4 linked regions of the Saccharomyces cerevisiae S288C genome follow. The gene in region 3 interacts genetically with the main gene of each other region. Each region holds a gene or a part of one and is shown on either strand. Other genes may lie near its edges. The genes, in order: ELG1, MUD2, LSM1 and VPS72.

What was found.
Region 1: mutations in LSM1 (region 3) and ELG1 together harm fitness more than expected from each alone (negative genetic interaction), as found in Saccharomyces cerevisiae (5 studies listed by BioGRID, with this or other methods).
Region 2: mutations in LSM1 (region 3) and MUD2 together harm fitness more than expected from each alone (negative genetic interaction), as found in Saccharomyces cerevisiae (5 studies listed by BioGRID).
Region 4: mutations in LSM1 (region 3) and VPS72 together harm fitness more than expected from each alone (negative genetic interaction), as found in Saccharomyces cerevisiae (5 studies listed by BioGRID).

The regions. Positions count from the first base shown.
Region 1 is NC_001147.6:602,217-606,799, forward strand, and holds ELG1 (Elg1p), read right to left. Parts: upstream 2,877-4,583; coding exon 501-2,876; downstream 1-500. Other genes in the region: THI80 (thiamine diphosphokinase), read right to left, coding at 1-126; PNO1 (Pno1p), read right to left, coding at 3,131-3,955; MDM32 (Mdm32p), read left to right, coding at 4,391-4,583.
Region 2 is NC_001143.9:293,368-297,733, forward strand, and holds MUD2 (Mud2p), read right to left. Parts: upstream 2,827-4,366; coding exon 1,243-2,826; downstream 1-1,242. Other genes in the region: AAN1 (Aan1p), read right to left, coding at 1-941; Hsp70 family chaperone LHS1, read left to right, coding at 3,063-4,366. UniProt on the Saccharomyces cerevisiae protein: Splicing factor that contacts pre-mRNA directly and is a component of the pre-mRNA-U1 snRNP complex (commitment complex 2) that forms during early spliceosome assembly in yeast extracts.
Region 3 is NC_001142.9:186,173-189,475, forward strand, and holds LSM1 (Lsm1p), read right to left. Parts: upstream 1,473-3,303; coding exon 954-1,472; downstream 1-953. Other genes in the region: tRNA 1-methyladenosine methyltransferase subunit GCD14, read right to left, coding at 1-507; DUF5427 domain-containing protein MTC1, read right to left, coding at 1,832-3,268. UniProt on the Saccharomyces cerevisiae protein: Component of the cytoplasmic LSM1-LSM7 complex which is involved in mRNA degradation by activating the decapping step.
Region 4 is NC_001136.10:1,423,897-1,429,244, forward strand, and holds VPS72 (Vps72p), read right to left. Parts: upstream 3,312-5,348; coding exon 924-3,311; downstream 1-923. Other genes in the region: VPS52 (Vps52p), read left to right, coding at 1-792; VPS60 (Vps60p), read right to left, coding at 3,535-4,224; 3,4-dihydroxy-2-butanone-4-phosphate synthase RIB3, read right to left, coding at 4,458-5,084; PAC11 (dynein intermediate chain), read right to left, coding at 5,292-5,348. UniProt on the Saccharomyces cerevisiae protein: Participates in the catalytic exchange of histone H2A for the H2A variant HTZ1, an euchromatin-specific factor, leading to chromatin remodeling and changes in transcription of targeted genes. Indirectly involved in vacuolar protein sorting.

The sequences.
Region 1 (4,583 bases), on a different chromosome or scaffold from region 3:
GAGTAGGGTAGAGTTTTCATCCTCGTTTGGATGGATTAGTTCTTTTAAGTTCATTTTATTTCGGATGTTGATTAAATCAGTACCAATTTTAATACGTTCAGGATTTTCAATACACTCCTCGCTCATAGCAGTGATATTCAGCTTTTTATTGTTCTTTGTGACCAATTGTGATCTACAAATTTCTAGCTTTTATCAAAACCACAGTACTTAAGAAGCTAAATCTTTTATAAACGCCTTATCATTCACGCTTTATTTGTAATTCCCATCAGCCATTTTTTTTCAAGTTTTCGCATATTTTGCATTTTTCGCTGTTTTGAAATATGCACTATGAGGAAATAAAGGCAACTATTAGAAGGAATTTAGGATTGTGCTGCATTTGCTTAATGCAAGGTTGCAGAATTTATTGATATATAAAGTAGTAGTATATTTCCCCGCACTACCATGCTATATTTATTATACATACGTGTTCCTGTAACGATGCACGCAATTTCATATCAGTGTTATTTGTTCTTTGAAAAGCCTGAGTGCAAATGCTCCCATTTTCTCACGACTATGCTCGGATCAGCGTTGAACCATACGTTTTTCAAGACACCCTCTTGTGACAACTGATAGACCAAATCTTTGTATCGTCTTTCTGATACATTTTCACTATGCAACTCAAATATTTGTTTGTTTTCATTCTTGACATTGGCGTCACTTTTAGCGATTTCAAAAACGAAGGGATTGATCTCCGCTTTAATTTGTTGAGTTGTGGCGCTCAGCAGATCAATCTCGGCATTTTCGTTCAGAGTTTCATCATTATAAATTCCTTTGAATTGGTTCAAAATATCAGAAATTTTCTTCGAATTTCTCGTCCTTCTTGCCGACTGAAGATGGTCATACTTCGGTATTCTTGACGCCAAAAAATTTAATGTAGATTCTGTCATTTTTTTGAACCTGTTAACAAGGTATTCGTTATCAAGCCTATGGTTTGCTTCTCTAACATAGGAATACCGAGCTTCCAATTGTTCTTGGATGTGTTGGTAAATATTCAATTCAAACGGTAATAACGGTTGTCTATTGGGGTCATTTAAATGCAATTTATAATCTATCACGTAATCAAATTTTAGTTTCATTTCATCATCCAGATTTTGATCCTGGAAAGTATTAACTTTTTCTGGGGTCATTGTGGTAGAATCTATTTCTTGTCTAACCATGGAACGATTGAGCGTTGCTTGACCAATAACATCATTTATGGAGAGTAGATCAGTTAATTGCGATATATCTTTAACGCTTGAACCAAGAGTTGATGTTAGGACCGGTAGTCTGTTCTTGGATGAAATCAAATCAGCCTCAGTATCAACGCACCAAAACTGCAAGTGCATCAAGCACTTCCTAATATCCGCATTATTTTGTTTTACAACATCGCGAAGCCAGTCGTCACAAACTTCGATTTCAAGGGACTTTAAATATTTTGTTAGAAACGCATAGACTGTGGATGTACTAATTTTCTTAGTATGAAACAAAGAGTTTTGTTCACTTGCCAAGGCAATAAGTTCACTAGGAACTAGTGACAAATCCTTACAAGTCAATACGAGGGGCCTTCGTGAAAATTCACAAAGCTTGCTGATCATTGCCCAATATCCCCTATCATGTTCTTTAAATAAAACATCAACATCATTAAATAAAACAAGCCCGTAGTCACTTTTCCTTTTTGAGGAATCTTTGACATAGTGTGTGGTGGTAAAATCTAGTAGGATATCAAGCAAATCTTTTTTGCTCCTGTTCATGTTTGAATTAACTTCATATATCTGGTAAGAATTATCGTCGCCAGCAATCTCTCTCATGATTGTCTGTATCAGCGTTTTCTTGCCTATTGAATTTCCGTGTAATATCATTAGTGGAACAAATTCGCTCAAGCTGCTATTTGCTTCGCCATTTCTGTAGAAATCTGGACGCAAGTTTTCGTCTTCTTCGAGATCAGGTACAATGAAGTTGGCAAGCTCATCACCAGATCCCTGTTGTTTATTGGGATTTATTCTGTTCAATAGACGGTTCCTCAAGGTAGGCTTTTCTAGCGTATGAAAGGATGTTTCAATCCAATTTTTGATTCGAAGTTTCAATTTGGGTTCAATTAATACTTGTTTTAAAGTGACAGGCTTGAATAGCTGCGGCCATGTGAGAGTTGTATTTCTTTTAATATTTGTGCCAAGTAATACCGGTGCTTGATAGCGAACAGGAATACAAGATGCTGAATTCTTGTCTTTCAACGATTCATAGTCACTAGGAAGAAAATTATGATTTAATGGCGGTATTGTGCGGAAAGGAAGCGGGATATCAACACTCCGATCTGACAGCTCTTTGTCACCTACTGGGAAAATCGATTGATGTAATGGTAATGGTGGCTCTATTTCATTTAGTTTAGAGATGCTATTTAATCTTTTGAACGTGTCGGTTGTCTCATGTTTAAGGAAGTTTTTAATCTTTGATGCTCTTTCATTAAGAAGCGATGATTTGATTCTCGATGTGGAAATTATAGAAATATCATCTTCATGCTCCTGCGAAAGTGCAATTTTGCTACAATTAGTCTCACTTTTGGGACTCTTATCACTGATTACAATAAGATCATCATCGTCGTCATCGCATTTTTCTTTTGTGCGTTTCGTCATCAAAAACTCCTTTGCAGATTTGTGATTAGTAGAAACAGCTTCAATTGGCTTCACAACAGAGTGGTTTAAAAATATTACTGAAGAATCGTCATGTTTGGCTGTTCTGGCGTCAAAAGTGCCTGATTCAGTATCATTTTCGTCATCGATGGTAATCTGTAGAGCATCTTGTCTTCTCACTTTTCTCTTATTTCCTGTCAATATATCAGATAAAGACACGTGCCTTTTCATTGGAAAACCTTCTCTGATTCAAAAAGTTTAATGCTATGGTACCATACGATTTAGTGCAGCGAAGGTGGTCAGTGAAGACGTTAAATACATGAAGCAAATAGCCGGATAATAATACTAAACTAATTTATCACCGCTAACGTTACGCGTTTGGCGTCCTAAAAAAAAGAAGGAAAAAAAAACCTATTTATTCACTCTATTTCGCCATAAAACGACATATAAATATTATACAGATGATGAAAGCCCACAAATTATGTTTAGTAGCGTTCTTTTAATCTAGATGCAACGGTACGTAAGTTCCCATAAACTTTACCTGGAGGGGAACCCAAAATTAAACTAACCACAGATTCTCTTGCCATTCTGATGTGGGTGAACCCGCCCAAAATGTGGATTTTAGAGTCAGCTAAGACAATTCTTGTTCTTGTAGCGTTTTCAATCGCAAATTTCGTTTTACCGTCTTTACCGGCAATACGACCGATGGCTCTCGACAAATGGTCACCTGTTAGAGTCTTGACATCTTTGACTTCAAAAGTCTCAATATATAAATCATCTAGCCTCAATAGTGCGATAGAATCGTCAAGATCAAACCCTAAGGTAAAGGCTTTGATAAAATCGGCCCCTTTTTGCAACGCACCAGGGTCTGTGGTAAATTTAGGATTCGTTCTTAGTTCTACGGATTTGGTCTTTAAATTCATTCTGACTTGCAGCTTCAAGTGCTCGACCAAAGGAGGATAAATTTTTGTCCAACTGTTCCTCAAGGGTGTCATTCTGTGTGGTGGAACCATGATCTTTCTCGATTCAAATTTTATTTTGTTACCCTGTGTTTTGCTAGCTGAAGTGAAGCGAGGTTTCCCCTGGTCATCAACCACTACGGTCTTAGATTCGTGCGTTTTCCGGCTACCTTCTTCGCCCTCTACCTCTTCTTTTGCTGTGTTATTGTCGGAATCATCTAACAGAACGTCGTCATCATCGTCCTCATCGATGCTTTCGGTATTATTTATTCCTATAATTCTACTACTGCCCCCATCTTGTCCACTTACAGGTGTCACAGTAGCCTTTTTCAAAGCAGTAGGCGCAACCATAATGTAGTTTATTTTCACTTCAAGTCTTTTTCTTAACTAAACAGAAGAATATTGAAAACTGCCTATTATTGATGCAATATGTATCTTTCATTGTGATGAGCATCGGTATGATAATAAGGAAAGAAGAAAAATTTTTTCCCGCTCGCACTTTCCGTAAGAGGTGATAAAAAACAGACCTAATACTGTAGTAATCTTAACTGCATTTAGCCCTACATTTATTATTTATGACCTTACTCTTCATATGTAGGTTAAAAAATTCGTATAAAGACACATTTGACTTTTTGTCACTTTTTTTTACTTCTCGTTATTGGTTCTAGCTGATCCTTGACTTACTATGGAGGGATGCATATTAAAGTTGACAGTAGATTTGCGTCAAGAAGTATTAAAACAAAAGGCACATACAGATTATCAGGTGGTGGGAGGTTTATAAAATTCATGCTAATCACACGTTTACGGGTCCCTACAATAAAGCGGCCACTGCTTCCAATTACAAGTCATCTCGTAAGACACTGTATTCGAACTTACGTCGCAACTAATCATGGAAATGTCAGACCTTTTATAACACCTTACAAGAGTTCGTTACCTGTTAGATGTTTGATCGCCCAAAGGCACATCCGAACATTTCCAA
Region 2 (4,366 bases), on a different chromosome or scaffold from region 3:
TCTTCTCGAGCTTGCCATAACAGCTTTTGCGCTCTTTCCAGTCTTTCTTGGCTAACGGCATCATCCTTGCTCTCTTTTTCGCCTTTATCACCTTGGACATTTTCGGAGTCTTGTAGAGAAGGCAAGAATCCGTTCTTTTCGCTTTTGACCATAAGCTCATTGTATTCGTTATAGAGGGAGATAATTTTCATCATAGGCTTGTATAATTGCTGACAGACTTTCATTTCCGAGTAAGGTACAATGACTTTTTCCAAATAGTGATTGATCAGTCCTTCCATGAAGTTTGCCCAAATTGACGAAAATACATAATCCTCGTCGTAAGTCGATTCCGTAAAATCTTGGTTGATGTTATGCTGTATGATTTGCTCTGTAAGAGTTGGGAAAAGGTTTTTATGGCTTTTGACCATTTCATCTCTCAAAGCAGTAGATCCAGCGCTATCTGCTCCTTTAGTAGAATTTTCCAAACTATTATCTGTTGAAGACGCCTCTGAGTTCTTTTCACCATCTGTCTTATCTAGCCAGTATTCCGGACCACCCTTTTCAGACAATGTCACCAATAAAAGGAAGAGTTTTACTTTAACCCACGGGTTTAGCGAGTTTACATAGGCGTCCGTAATTTTGCTAACATCGATATTTATTTTTCTATGGATGCATTTGATAAATTTTTCAATGTAATGTGATTTTTTCAATCCGTATTTTTCATTCAGATATCCAACCGAAGTGATTACGTCGTAATTTGTATTTTCCATGTTCGTATGCTTCAAAAAGTTGAATGTTAACTTTCGTCTATTTCCATAATGTCTTTCTCTTTTCTCCTCACCTTTCTTCTTTCTTCTAATCTTTTTTTCTTTTGAAGCACCCAATTTAAGACATCTTTTACAGGTACAGTCCTTTAACGATGGCTCGTTGGCCGCTTGCTTGGGCAATAAATCTTTAGCCATCTTCTTTGGCGCGCTATACTAGGCTTGATTTATAATGTTAGTTATTCCAAAAATGTGAAGGAAATTGATCAAGGCAAGCTCTAATGATGATTATTGACCCATGCAACAAAAAAAGTTTGAATTCTCTTAATTTTCCAGATCGCAAGTTAGTAGTCAATCTGCTAACTTTCGTTATATTTCAAAAAAGTAATTGTACAAAAAAAGTCACCAAAAACGAGGACTTTTTTCACTGCGTTAAAGATTAGATCTACATAATGAATACTCAATTCTTTACTTAATTTCGCTCTACAAAATAGACCATTTAGGAAAGTTGGGTTGCTTCCATCATGTCAAAGTCGTCCTCATCTATATAAGTACACAGAACAGTGCGATCGTTGAATTGCGTACCCGGCAATTCTTCCATTGCGTGTTTTGCTGCCTCCAAGGTCTTGAACTTGATATAAATATTACCGGCTCCGGAAGCCAAGTTTTCAAAATTAAGTCTGTAATCGACGCCGGGTTGGCATATTTTAATCGTATCTGCTCCCGCGATACTATACTTTAATGTTTCTTTAATTTCTGTGATAAAGGTTTCATCTTTCAAATCCAATGGATCAAGACAATTTAAGAGCAACAAAACTCTCGATTCAACACGAACAGATTGGGTAACCAGATTTGGCAGGCTTTGAAACGTAATCCATGAAGTAACTTGTGATATCTTTCCATCATTTGGCTTGAACCATTTGTATGGTTTTAATTTATCAAGAATATCCTGAGTGACGACTTCAAACGATAATAGAATACATTTAGTGAATTCGGATTCTTTGCCAGTGTTGTTTGTATTGGACGAACATTTGTAAAAAAGTGGCTTAGCGGTACCGTTTGTTACATTCAATGACGAAAAAAGCTCTTTCATTCTATAATCTTCACCCTCGCCTATATTTTCCAAATTTTCCAATGCAATTACCGTACCCCTGCAAAAATCGACCAGATGATCAAGTTGTTGAACATAATCATTAGGTCTTCTCCATTTTAAGTCGAAAGTACCAAGCTTCGCATTAAAGAATGATCGACAGGCCAAAACCATAGTGCTACAGATCTGAGAACTAAACTCAACAATAATATGGTCCGGCCTTCCTTCACCAATATAAAAGTTGGAAATTTTAAAGTCCTCCGCATTACTCTCAGTTTTCTGGAGACCTGAAATAAAATTTTCCAGCAAATCTTTCAATCTTGCTACAATGCTGGGGTCGCTGCTTTGAGACAAGCCCGAAATTACAAGCCTTGAATTTGCCTTGGATGAGGCCATGTTGTAGTAAGCCGGAGAATCGAATGATGAACCCGGGTACATTACATTTTGGGAATTATAGTTCATGTCATATTTATTAGTTTGCAACTGCCTTTTATCACGGTCGCCATTGAATTTAGAACCTTCGTTCTTCCTTTGGTAATTGAAACGATCGTAGTTTCCGTTTCCATTTCTTCCCCTTCTATCGAACCTTTCATTTCTTCCTCTTCTTTCATCCCGTTGCCTATTATAGGGATTGTTGTTCCATTGGGGCCCAGTATTGTGACTACTATACCGATTCTCCCTGTTATATGATCTTCCCGATGCATCCCGATAACTTTGACGATGAGGACCTGCCCTTGTTTGTTCATAAGTCGTTCGATTCGTGCTCATAGTAATTATTGACGATGGTCCTCTGTTATTAGAATGTGAAACGTTTCTACTTTTTGGCGCTTTCGGAAGCTCACCGTCACTTTTTTGCCTCTTAAAATGTGTATCTATAACTGCATTATCCGTGTTGAATCTTTTGTTCTCAATCGGCACAACATCCTTTTCTGATTTTCCTATAGACTCCATTATTTTGGATCTCAAATCCTCCAGTCTCTTTTCATCAGCCATCTCCGTGTGCTTGTTTTCTGTGTCAATTAACTTTCCTTTTCTACTTCTTTTATATTAGCATGTACAGTTTAATTTCTCATCTCGAATTTTTTCAGCACTTGCTAATTAGGCGCGCGCCTCAAATATATAATATCGAACACGCTGTTATAAAAGTGATCCATTCTACAGCGTAATATTAACAGTATCGCTCCTGCAGTATTCTGGCATTATTAGTGCAAATAAGTACGCATATTACCATGCGAAACGTTTTAAGGCTTTTATTTTTAACAGCTTTTGTTGCTATAGGGTCTTTAGCAGCCGTTTTAGGTGTTGATTACGGTCAGCAAAATATCAAGGCCATTGTGGTTTCTCCGCAAGCCCCATTAGAACTTGTGCTCACACCAGAGGCAAAACGGAAGGAGATATCTGGTCTTTCGATAAAAAGATTACCAGGTTATGGAAAGGATGATCCGAATGGGATTGAAAGAATCTACGGTTCCGCTGTTGGCAGTTTAGCAACAAGGTTTCCCCAAAACACATTGTTGCATTTGAAACCGCTACTTGGGAAATCACTAGAAGATGAAACCACTGTAACTTTGTATTCAAAACAACACCCCGGTTTAGAAATGGTATCAACAAATAGAAGTACCATAGCCTTTTTAGTTGATAATGTGGAATATCCATTGGAAGAGTTAGTGGCAATGAATGTCCAAGAGATTGCCAATAGAGCCAATTCACTGTTGAAGGATAGAGATGCAAGAACTGAGGACTTTGTAAACAAGATGAGTTTTACAATTCCTGACTTTTTTGACCAACATCAAAGGAAAGCACTTTTAGATGCCAGTTCAATAACCACAGGAATCGAAGAGACATATCTGGTTAGTGAAGGGATGTCTGTTGCAGTTAACTTTGTATTAAAGCAGCGCCAATTTCCACCAGGTGAACAGCAGCATTATATCGTATATGACATGGGGAGCGGTTCTATTAAGGCCTCAATGTTCTCTATATTGCAGCCGGAGGACACTACTCAGCCCGTTACAATAGAATTTGAAGGATATGGGTATAATCCACATCTAGGTGGTGCAAAGTTTACAATGGATATTGGCAGTTTGATAGAGAATAAGTTTTTGGAAACACACCCAGCCATAAGAACTGATGAATTGCACGCTAATCCCAAGGCCTTAGCAAAAATCAACCAAGCAGCAGAGAAGGCAAAGTTAATTTTAAGCGCCAATTCTGAGGCAAGTATTAACATAGAATCACTGATCAACGATATTGATTTCCGTACTTCTATAACTAGACAGGAATTCGAAGAATTTATTGCAGACTCGTTATTGGACATTGTCAAACCCATAAATGACGCTGTTACAAAACAATTCGGTGGCTATGGAACAAATTTACCTGAGATAAATGGGGTCATTTTGGCGGGAGGCTCTTCCCGAATTCCCATTGTGCAGGATCAATTAATCAAACTCGTATCCGAAGAAAAAGTGTTGAGAAATGTCAATGCTGATGAATCAGCTGTGAATGGTGTTGTTATGAGAGGGATCAAGTTATCTAA
Region 3 (3,303 bases):
AACATCCCGATGTGTAATCGTAACGTTATCATCAATAAGTCCATGCTCTTTGAATTCCTCTAATGCTTGTTCGTATCTTATGTGATGAAATTCAAAACTAAAAAGATGACCTACAGATCTTGCAAAAGCGTGCGAAAATGATCCTGAGCCTGTACCTGCCTCGATCACTCTGCTGTGAGGGCTACAATTCAACCTTTGCATGATGTAGGAAGAGTCGGGCGTATATACAATTTGAGTTCTGTGTGGTAACGACAAAGTCCACAATTCAGGAGTTGGTTGCAGAACATGGACGAATGCAAACTTATTTGAGCCCTTTGTTCTTATAGCAATTTGAGAACCATAAGGTTTACCTATGATATCCTTATGAGGAAATGAACCATAACGAGTATTGAATACCTCTTCGGAATGCATCCTTACCGGTTTGATGTTATCTCTAGAAACCCATATTAGAGTTAAATCGCCTTCCTTGATGAGGTCTTTGTAACCGGAAAAACAATTTGTTGACATTTCTAAATCTGCGTAATCTTAGCTACCTGATAGTCCCACCCCGATCTTATTCACATATATTTTCTATATACTTTAAACAGTTTTAAAAGTGATGAGCATGGAAAAAAATTCGTTGCTAACGGCATGGCATAAACAAAAAGCGAAAAAATTTTATAGATAATAATAAAGAAAAAGTATCAATAGCATGAGTGTTAATGTTATAACGAAGTGTAAGAGGAAAAAGAATGCTGCGCAAATACGTTACTTCATAAAAAAACTCAAGTACTGTATATATTTTACATTTAAATATATTAATTTATATACAAATACGGCCTCCTCTCTTGCATTTTTTTTATTGTTCCATCTCCAAAGGCAGTTGATTAAGTGTACGGATAGGTAAAACTGAATGTGGAAATTTTTGAGAGTTTACTCCAGGATATATGTTGGTAGTATTGTGTTTTTCTTTCTTAGTACATGTCAGATTTATGGAAATCGTAAACGATACCATGGCGGGCCATTTTTTTACCTTTGTGGGTTTCCTCTTTAAACCTTTTCTCATCATTTTTTTGCTTGGTCAGCCAAGCCTCCTTAAATGGTATGCGTTCCATGGCCTCAAGGGGTTGATCTTCTTTATCGATGTCTACTTCGCCTAACATGACAACATTTTCACCACGAATCATGAATATGCCGCGGTCTTCTTCAGCGTATTTGTTTTCTTCGCTAAAATATATTCTCTCCACGCAATCTTGAAGTATCAAATTTGCATATTGGTCAAAGGTTCTTAGTACACCGAATAGCATTCTTCCATCACGCAAAAGAACGAAGATTTTACGGTCTACTGAGCTTACAATAGCAGCGGTGGTAGTGAAGTTATACTGGTCGAGATATAAATCGGCCTCACCTTCTGAAATCTTCTTTGGGAAATTCTGCTGTTGTCGCTTCGCATCCTGATTGGACTGATTTCTGTCCTTGCTATTTGCAGACATTTTTGGTGAATTAATTCGATTCGAGGGCTGCTTTCTTTTATAGGTTTTGAAAGCGGAGCAAATGTTGGTATAACTCTACTGCAGCGTTGGCAATCCTGTTGAAAAGGAAAAGAAAATATAACTAAACTGTGTTACTTGTATCTTCACTAATATTTAATCAGCCCTTGGTCATACAGGCTTCCCCTAGATTGAAATACAGGTGCTGAACACCGTTGTATATTCACGACTTCCTCTATTTTTTTCATATTTTCCATTATTCAACGAACGCGGGTAACAAGTCGGCCGAATTTGAACCCACTCCTCTGCGCTTGTAACTTTATACATCATCGTTACGCTATAAATGTTATGTATTAAGTGTATCAAAGACCCATACGGTCAATGACATAATTCTGTGCCATGACCCCAAATGACAAGCTTAATCCATCTTCGATCCATTCCTTTACCCATTCACTAGGATCAATGATCTCATCGTCTTCGTCTTCGTCTTCACTTTCTTTTTGTTTCTTTTGATCGTATGACTTATTCCTCTCCTCACTTGCTGTTGATCCTGTTTTCTCCACGGATCCTTCTAGCCAATTGACCCATTTGACAGGGAATCCTTGTGATCTTGTTATGGTGGTAATATCGTTAGTTATGTCTTTCAATACAAGGGTGAAATTGAAATTGCCTGGCGTATTGGAGTCGGTCACTTGAAAGTCACCGTCGGCATCTTTTTGTTTTTGCGGAATGGCAATTGGTAAGATGGATATGAATAAATCACTGATTTTATTGCTGTTACTGCTAATAGAACTCCTATCGTCATCTGGAGTGGCATCAGCCTCTTTCTGTTGTTTCTGGTATTCCTCATGTGCAGTATTGAAGAGTTTGACTGCATTTTCCAGGTTTGCAAATGCCAGTTTCTCACCGTCTGTTACCTTGCCGTCGAATAGATTAAACTGTAATTTTTTTTTAGAGTTGCCTAACTCACCGTCTGCAACTGAAGGCTTTTTTTCCACAGGTGTAATTCCATTATTGTTAGGATGGCCCCATTCATCTACAAATATTCTGATTCCTCCCTCAACTTGTGAGCTTAGAACTTGATCAAACTTGCTTTCAATATTGTATTGTAATGAGGGATAGTTAACCAAATCATGGACTAGATGAATTCGCAGCACCTCTTCAGTCTCACCAACAACGATTTTCTGTAAGTTTCTGGCTATTTCAGTAATCGTGCTCGTGTTTATCTTTGAAGTCAAATCAAGCTGTTCTTGGGCAAGTCGGTTTTTGATCTGGGATGCTTGTTCTGCAGTTTTATTCCAAATACTCGATACCTTTGCGGATCCAGAGGAGGACCACCAGTTTGAAATAGAAGCAATTGGGTCATGCAATGGGGTCTCCTCCTCCTCCTCTTCTTCTTCTTCTTCTTCCTCCTCTTCTTCTTCTTTCTCCTGCTGCTGTGGTTCCTTTTCCTTTCCGTGAGCGTCCTGCTCGGAATTTTTGTTTTCTTTTGATTCTTCTACTTTTTCGTCTTGTGCTTTATTATTAACTGATTCACTGGGAGCCTTCTTTTCAACCCCTTTCTTGTCAGTTAAGCTTAAGTTACTCTTCTCCAACTCTTCTAAGAATTCAAAGATATCATCGTCACCTTTCTTTCCATCATTCCCGGTCTTGCCCGCCACAGAATTAGAACCTCCCTTAACGCCTTCTTGGCTACCCTTTACGTCAGTATTAACCATTTTCCCGCCATTCTTTGCTTCTGGCAAAGAATCTAAAAATTCAAATACGTCTTCAGCCTCAGAGTTCTTATTTTCAGACATTTTGCCCTGGTAGTATGTATGTTTTTAATCGATTG
Region 4 (5,348 bases), on a different chromosome or scaffold from region 3:
AACTGTACGGTGGAGTACCATTTTTTAAAAGATTTCTTCGCTATGAATGGCGATAATTTTGAGGAAATTAATGGTTTATTGGAACAAATATTTCAACCAACTTTTGATGAAGCCACAACATACACTCAACAACTGATCCAATATAATTATGACATTTTTGGTGTATTAATAAGTATTCGTGTGGCCAATCAATTACAATTTGAATCAGAAAGGAGAGGAATACCGTCTATGTTTGATAGTTTCTTGAATGGTCAATTAATTCAATTATGGCCTCGATTTCAGCAATTGGTCGATTTTCAATGCGAGAGCTTACGAAAAGCGGCAATAACTACAAATGTGGCAAAATATGCCGGCAACTCAAGCACATCCAATAGTAGCCCTTTGACCTCACCTCATGAGTTAACTGTACAGTTCGGTAAATTTTTATCAAGCTTCTTGACGTTGGCAATAACACATAAGCAGTCCATAGACGAAAGATCTGAACCCTTATACAATTCCATCATTAGATTAAGAAATGATTTCGAAACAGTCATGACAAAGTGCAGTAAAAAGACGAAATCACCAGAAAGATTTCTGGCTACAAATTACATGTATTTATACAATAACCTACAGCAATTGCATCTACATTTAAATATAAATGACTCGGATGCACAAAACTACAATTTTGATTCTGCTGAAAATGTTGGTACGAAAGTTGCGAATGACGACGATAATGATTCAAGCGTACCACTAATAATCAGAGAGACCGAAAATCATTTCAAAACTTTAGTTGAAGCTTTCACCAGAAATTGATGAATGTAACGATTGTATAAGACATGGAGCGTATAAAGTATATTTTTATGTAAAATGATCTTTATGATTTCTTATTTTGTGTGGAATATAGTCAAATGTTTAACGACCTACCATTATATAGTCTGTCTCAATTAAAATCCTTCAGGAACACCTTTTGCAGGTCTTTGACTTAAATCAAGGTAAATACCGCCGTTTTTGAACCCAAACCACTTGAATCTCACTTGATCGTCACTATCCTCATTTGTCGTTTCATCACGCTTGATATCTGACCTTCCCTCCTCCTTAGAAATAGGATCTTGAATCCGCTGAATAATTTTATAAGCTTCCACATCAGAATAAGGCACACCAGTCCTTGGATCAAAGTACTGACATTCTTTATTTGTGATTAAACATTTTTTTCTTATACCATTGGCTAAGAAGACACCCGTTGGAGGCTGTGTTTTAATTTTGATTTCCAAATCCTTATTTATCTCTGTGTTGATTTGATGGACTATTTTCTTATCGTATTCCCCAAAAGATGGGAAATTTGCCAGAGCTGACAGATCAAGTGATATATCTACGGTAGGAGACGGTACTGAAGACTGAGGAGGTGATGGTAAAATGGAGTGGAAAACAGTTTTCATATCTTGTGGACGCTGAGTGGCGGATAACCCATTTGTGTATGACCATCGATCACCAAATAAGTTTGTGTTAAAATCTTTTAGATTTGGAGGAGCATTAGGAAAATCATAAAGTGTAACAAAGTTCCTTGAGGTTAATTGCTCAGGCCCTTCGTAGGTCTGTGTTGATAAAGAGTTTTCCGCGGAAGATTCATCAACATTAGCTGTATCTTTTTTTGAGGGTGACTCTTCAGTATCGATTATGGCCACTTGCGGATGGTCGGTAAACGTTACTTGTTTCAAGAAAGAAACATCAGTATTGCTTTTGGTCTCTTGTGGTACATTATGAGATAAGTTCTCGATGCCTTCGGTTTTCAGACAAGGTTCAGGCTCTCCTTTTATATCCGTATCCGGAGAGATCAATATAGTATCTTCAGTGCCAGTGGAGTTTGATGGTGTAGGTGTTGCAGAATTATCCCTTTGTGAGACCACTTGGGCAGCAGGTGATGAGTTTTCAAAAGTATTTTCCCTGCTCTCGAGAGCACTTACCATTTCATCTTTAATTTCTTCATTATGTAAATTTTGTATCGGTTCGCCTACATTGGTAATTTTTTGCTCATTAGTTATTATATTCTTTTGTGGTTGGCTGTTGGGAGCTTCATCAACGGTACTCTGCTTGTTTGCAATTGCGTCCAATGTAACATCAGGTAATGCTGTTGGCTTTAATTCGTCTGAATTTACTCTACTCACCGCTGCATCTGGACTCGATTCTCCTTCAACTGTATCGTTAGTAGAAGTTTCCTCAATCCTTTTCTGGTTGTGTACAGATGAAGAATTCTCACCCAAAGAATTCACGTCGCCATCGTTCTTTATCGATTCTTCACTCTCCCGCTTTTTATCATCTGATGCGTCCTGTTTTCCGAGATTTAAATTCTTCTTTGGCTTCCTCGGATATTTTTTCTTCTTCTTATCACGTTTATTCAATTGTTCCTGCCAATATTTACGATCTTCTAACTCCATCGCTGGCGTCATTAGCCAAGCAGTAGATAAAAATTGCAGTATAGTCTCATTTGGCTGGAATTTCTGCTTTTGTCTTTTCTGCAAAGCTAGACGATTCTCCTTTTTCCAAACTTCTTGTTCCTTGAACTTATCCAGTGACAAAATATTCAGCTTCTCAGTCTCCTTGGCAATCCGTAGCCTCTCTTCTTGTGTCAGCATATGCTGAGACTCCTGCTCCTTGTGTTTCCTTATTCTTTCTTGTATAATTTTTCTCTTTTTTTCAGCTTTAGACAATTTCTCATAAACTTTCATCGTGTTTTCCATTACCGATGATCTTTTAGAAGTTCTCCTTGTATTTAATAGTAACGTCTCTGCGTTTAATTGTTCATGGGTATGGTGCGATCTTGGTATAGCTTCTCCTGACTTAGGCTTAGGTTTTTGTTTTTTGATTACAACGGGACCCTTCTGTAATCTCTTGTTTCTTTTCTTTCTTGAAAGTAGTTCTTGTCTTCGTATTTCCTTTTCCTCTGCATCTTCATCATTCTCGTTGCTGGAGTCCTCAGATTCGCTACTGCTGAACATTAAGTCATCGGCTGCTTGCTCACTTGAAGCCTGAGAGGGCTCTTTCCTTATACTTTGAGTCTCATCTTCTTTTTCTTCCCCTTCATCATCGTCATCTTTTGCCATCATTTCGAAATCTTCATCATCTTCATCTTCCTGAAACAACAGCCCTATTTCATCTTCTTCATCATCATTACCATTCTTATAGGAAGAAATTTGTCTTTTGGTAGATTCTATATCTCTTAGCTCCTGCTCCAATAGTTTTTGTAATTTATTACCGGCATTAGACCTCCTAGATCGTGTTTGTATAATAAATTCTGTGTTAGTATCTAGACTTTTATCAGCACCTTCATCACTCATCGTGCACTGTGAATTTGCTTCGGTTTCACTTCTATTTGTATTCATTAGACTACATGGTGCTTTCTGCTTACTGTTTTTTCCATCAGGATTTTTTTAACAAAGAAAAAAGAAAACTACTAAAACCTAAATAAGGTACATATTTTGGCTTACCAGCAAAGAGAATATAAAGAAAAGGGAAAGGAGAGAAAAATTCTGAATATGCAACTTTGTGTGCTTTTTGTTTTCACTGAGCGCTTTCTAAAGCTTTATTTTTGTCTTCAGTATCTAAGTTTGGCTCTTCATCAATAAAAGCCGGTGGCGCATTCGCACCTAGTAAGTAACTGGGCATATCGTTACCTAATGAGTTTTCGCTGGTTGGCAAAGTGAAATCCTCTTGTGCCAGAGCATCCAGCTCTGCATCCAGCTCTGCATCACTAATGTCGTCGAGCTCGCCACTGTTATTATTCATTGCCAAGACTTCTTGCAGCTCATCCCCTTGTTCTATTAAATCCAGCATCTCATCCTGCATGTCCTGTAGTTTGTCGATATTTATCTTGCCGTATTGAGCCTTCATGGCATTGTTTGTTTGCTTTAGTGCGTTTATAGTGATCATTGTGTTCTGTAAGTTATCATTTGTTAACTGGGCTTGCGTCATGGACCAGGATTGAGAATCTAAAGAATCCTTCATATTTTCTAACTGTTTACGTTTATTTAAAATCTTCAAAGCCTGTTTTCTTAACGAGGGTTGCTTGTTGTTTGATCTTTGCAAATTCTTTTGAATATTTTGCAGCTGGAAGTTTAACTGGGCGATTTGAGTATCTAACTGGGATATTCTGTTCGATAGTGATTGTTGGGCCTGATTCATGGACTGATTCGACTCTTGTAAGAGCTGATCATGGCTCTTTTTGTTCCCATATCCGAAAATCCTGTTCATAATTGCCTTGAAGAGTTTATAACTGTGTTTCAACCAATCTTGGCTTCCTCCTATTACTACTTTTTTTAGATGTACTTTTTCTCTTGCTAAAAATCCCATATTTTTGTATGGCTGAAAAACATAGAGGAAGAAAAAGGTCAAAAAACAAAAGATATATACAAAGTTACAAATATATACATGTATATATGTGTGAGTCTGTTGTGATAGAATGAATGGAGAAAATGTTCACCAGATTATTTCTTCAAATATTGGGCCAATTCTTCGATGGAGATCAAAGGAATGCCATGTTTCTTACCAAACGCTTGGCAGTCATTTAATCTCATCATAGTTCCTTGTTCGTCATCGTTAACCAATTCGCCAATAACAGCGACGGGACTTAGTCCACTTAGTTTACACAAATCGACACCGGCCTCAGTGTGGCCTCTTCTCTGCAAAACACCGCCATCAGCGGCTCTCAAGGGACAGATGTGCCCTGGTTTTAAAAATGATTTTGGCGTAGAGGAAGAGTCTGCAAGAGCCCTACAAGTCATCGACCTGTCGTGAGCAGAAATACCTGTGGTAGTGCCTTGGGCTACATCTACAGTTATTGTGTATGCAGTTCCATGCCTGTCGTCATCATTGGATTCAAACTTCATGCCTGTTCTCAGTAGTGGAAGGTCCAACTTATCAGCAATGGCATTCGTCATAGGTGCACAGACGTAGCCTGAGGAATGGCGTACAAGAAAGGCCATTTGTTCAGTGCTGACATTTTCAGCAGCGCAAATAAGATCACCTTCATTTTCACGACCGGCATCGTCCATAACAATTACAAACTTATTCTGCTTGAAGTGTTCTATAGCTTGATCAATTGGTGTAAACATTTTCGACGTTGCCTTTTCTTCTTTTCCTTTCCTTTTTTTTAGCCTTCTGCTTTTTGTTGGAGATATTTACATTCACCTCACATATATACGCCAATGAAAATTTCACAATAGCACGTATATTAATAATAGCCTTGCTTTTTTTTATCAATTCTCGCTAAGAAATTACTCATCAGGCAATAACCTATGCTCACCCGCCTCGAAGCGGCGTTAGGAGATAACAGTGGCCGTGTAGAGGGACGTCTTAGCATCGAAAGCCCAATTTAC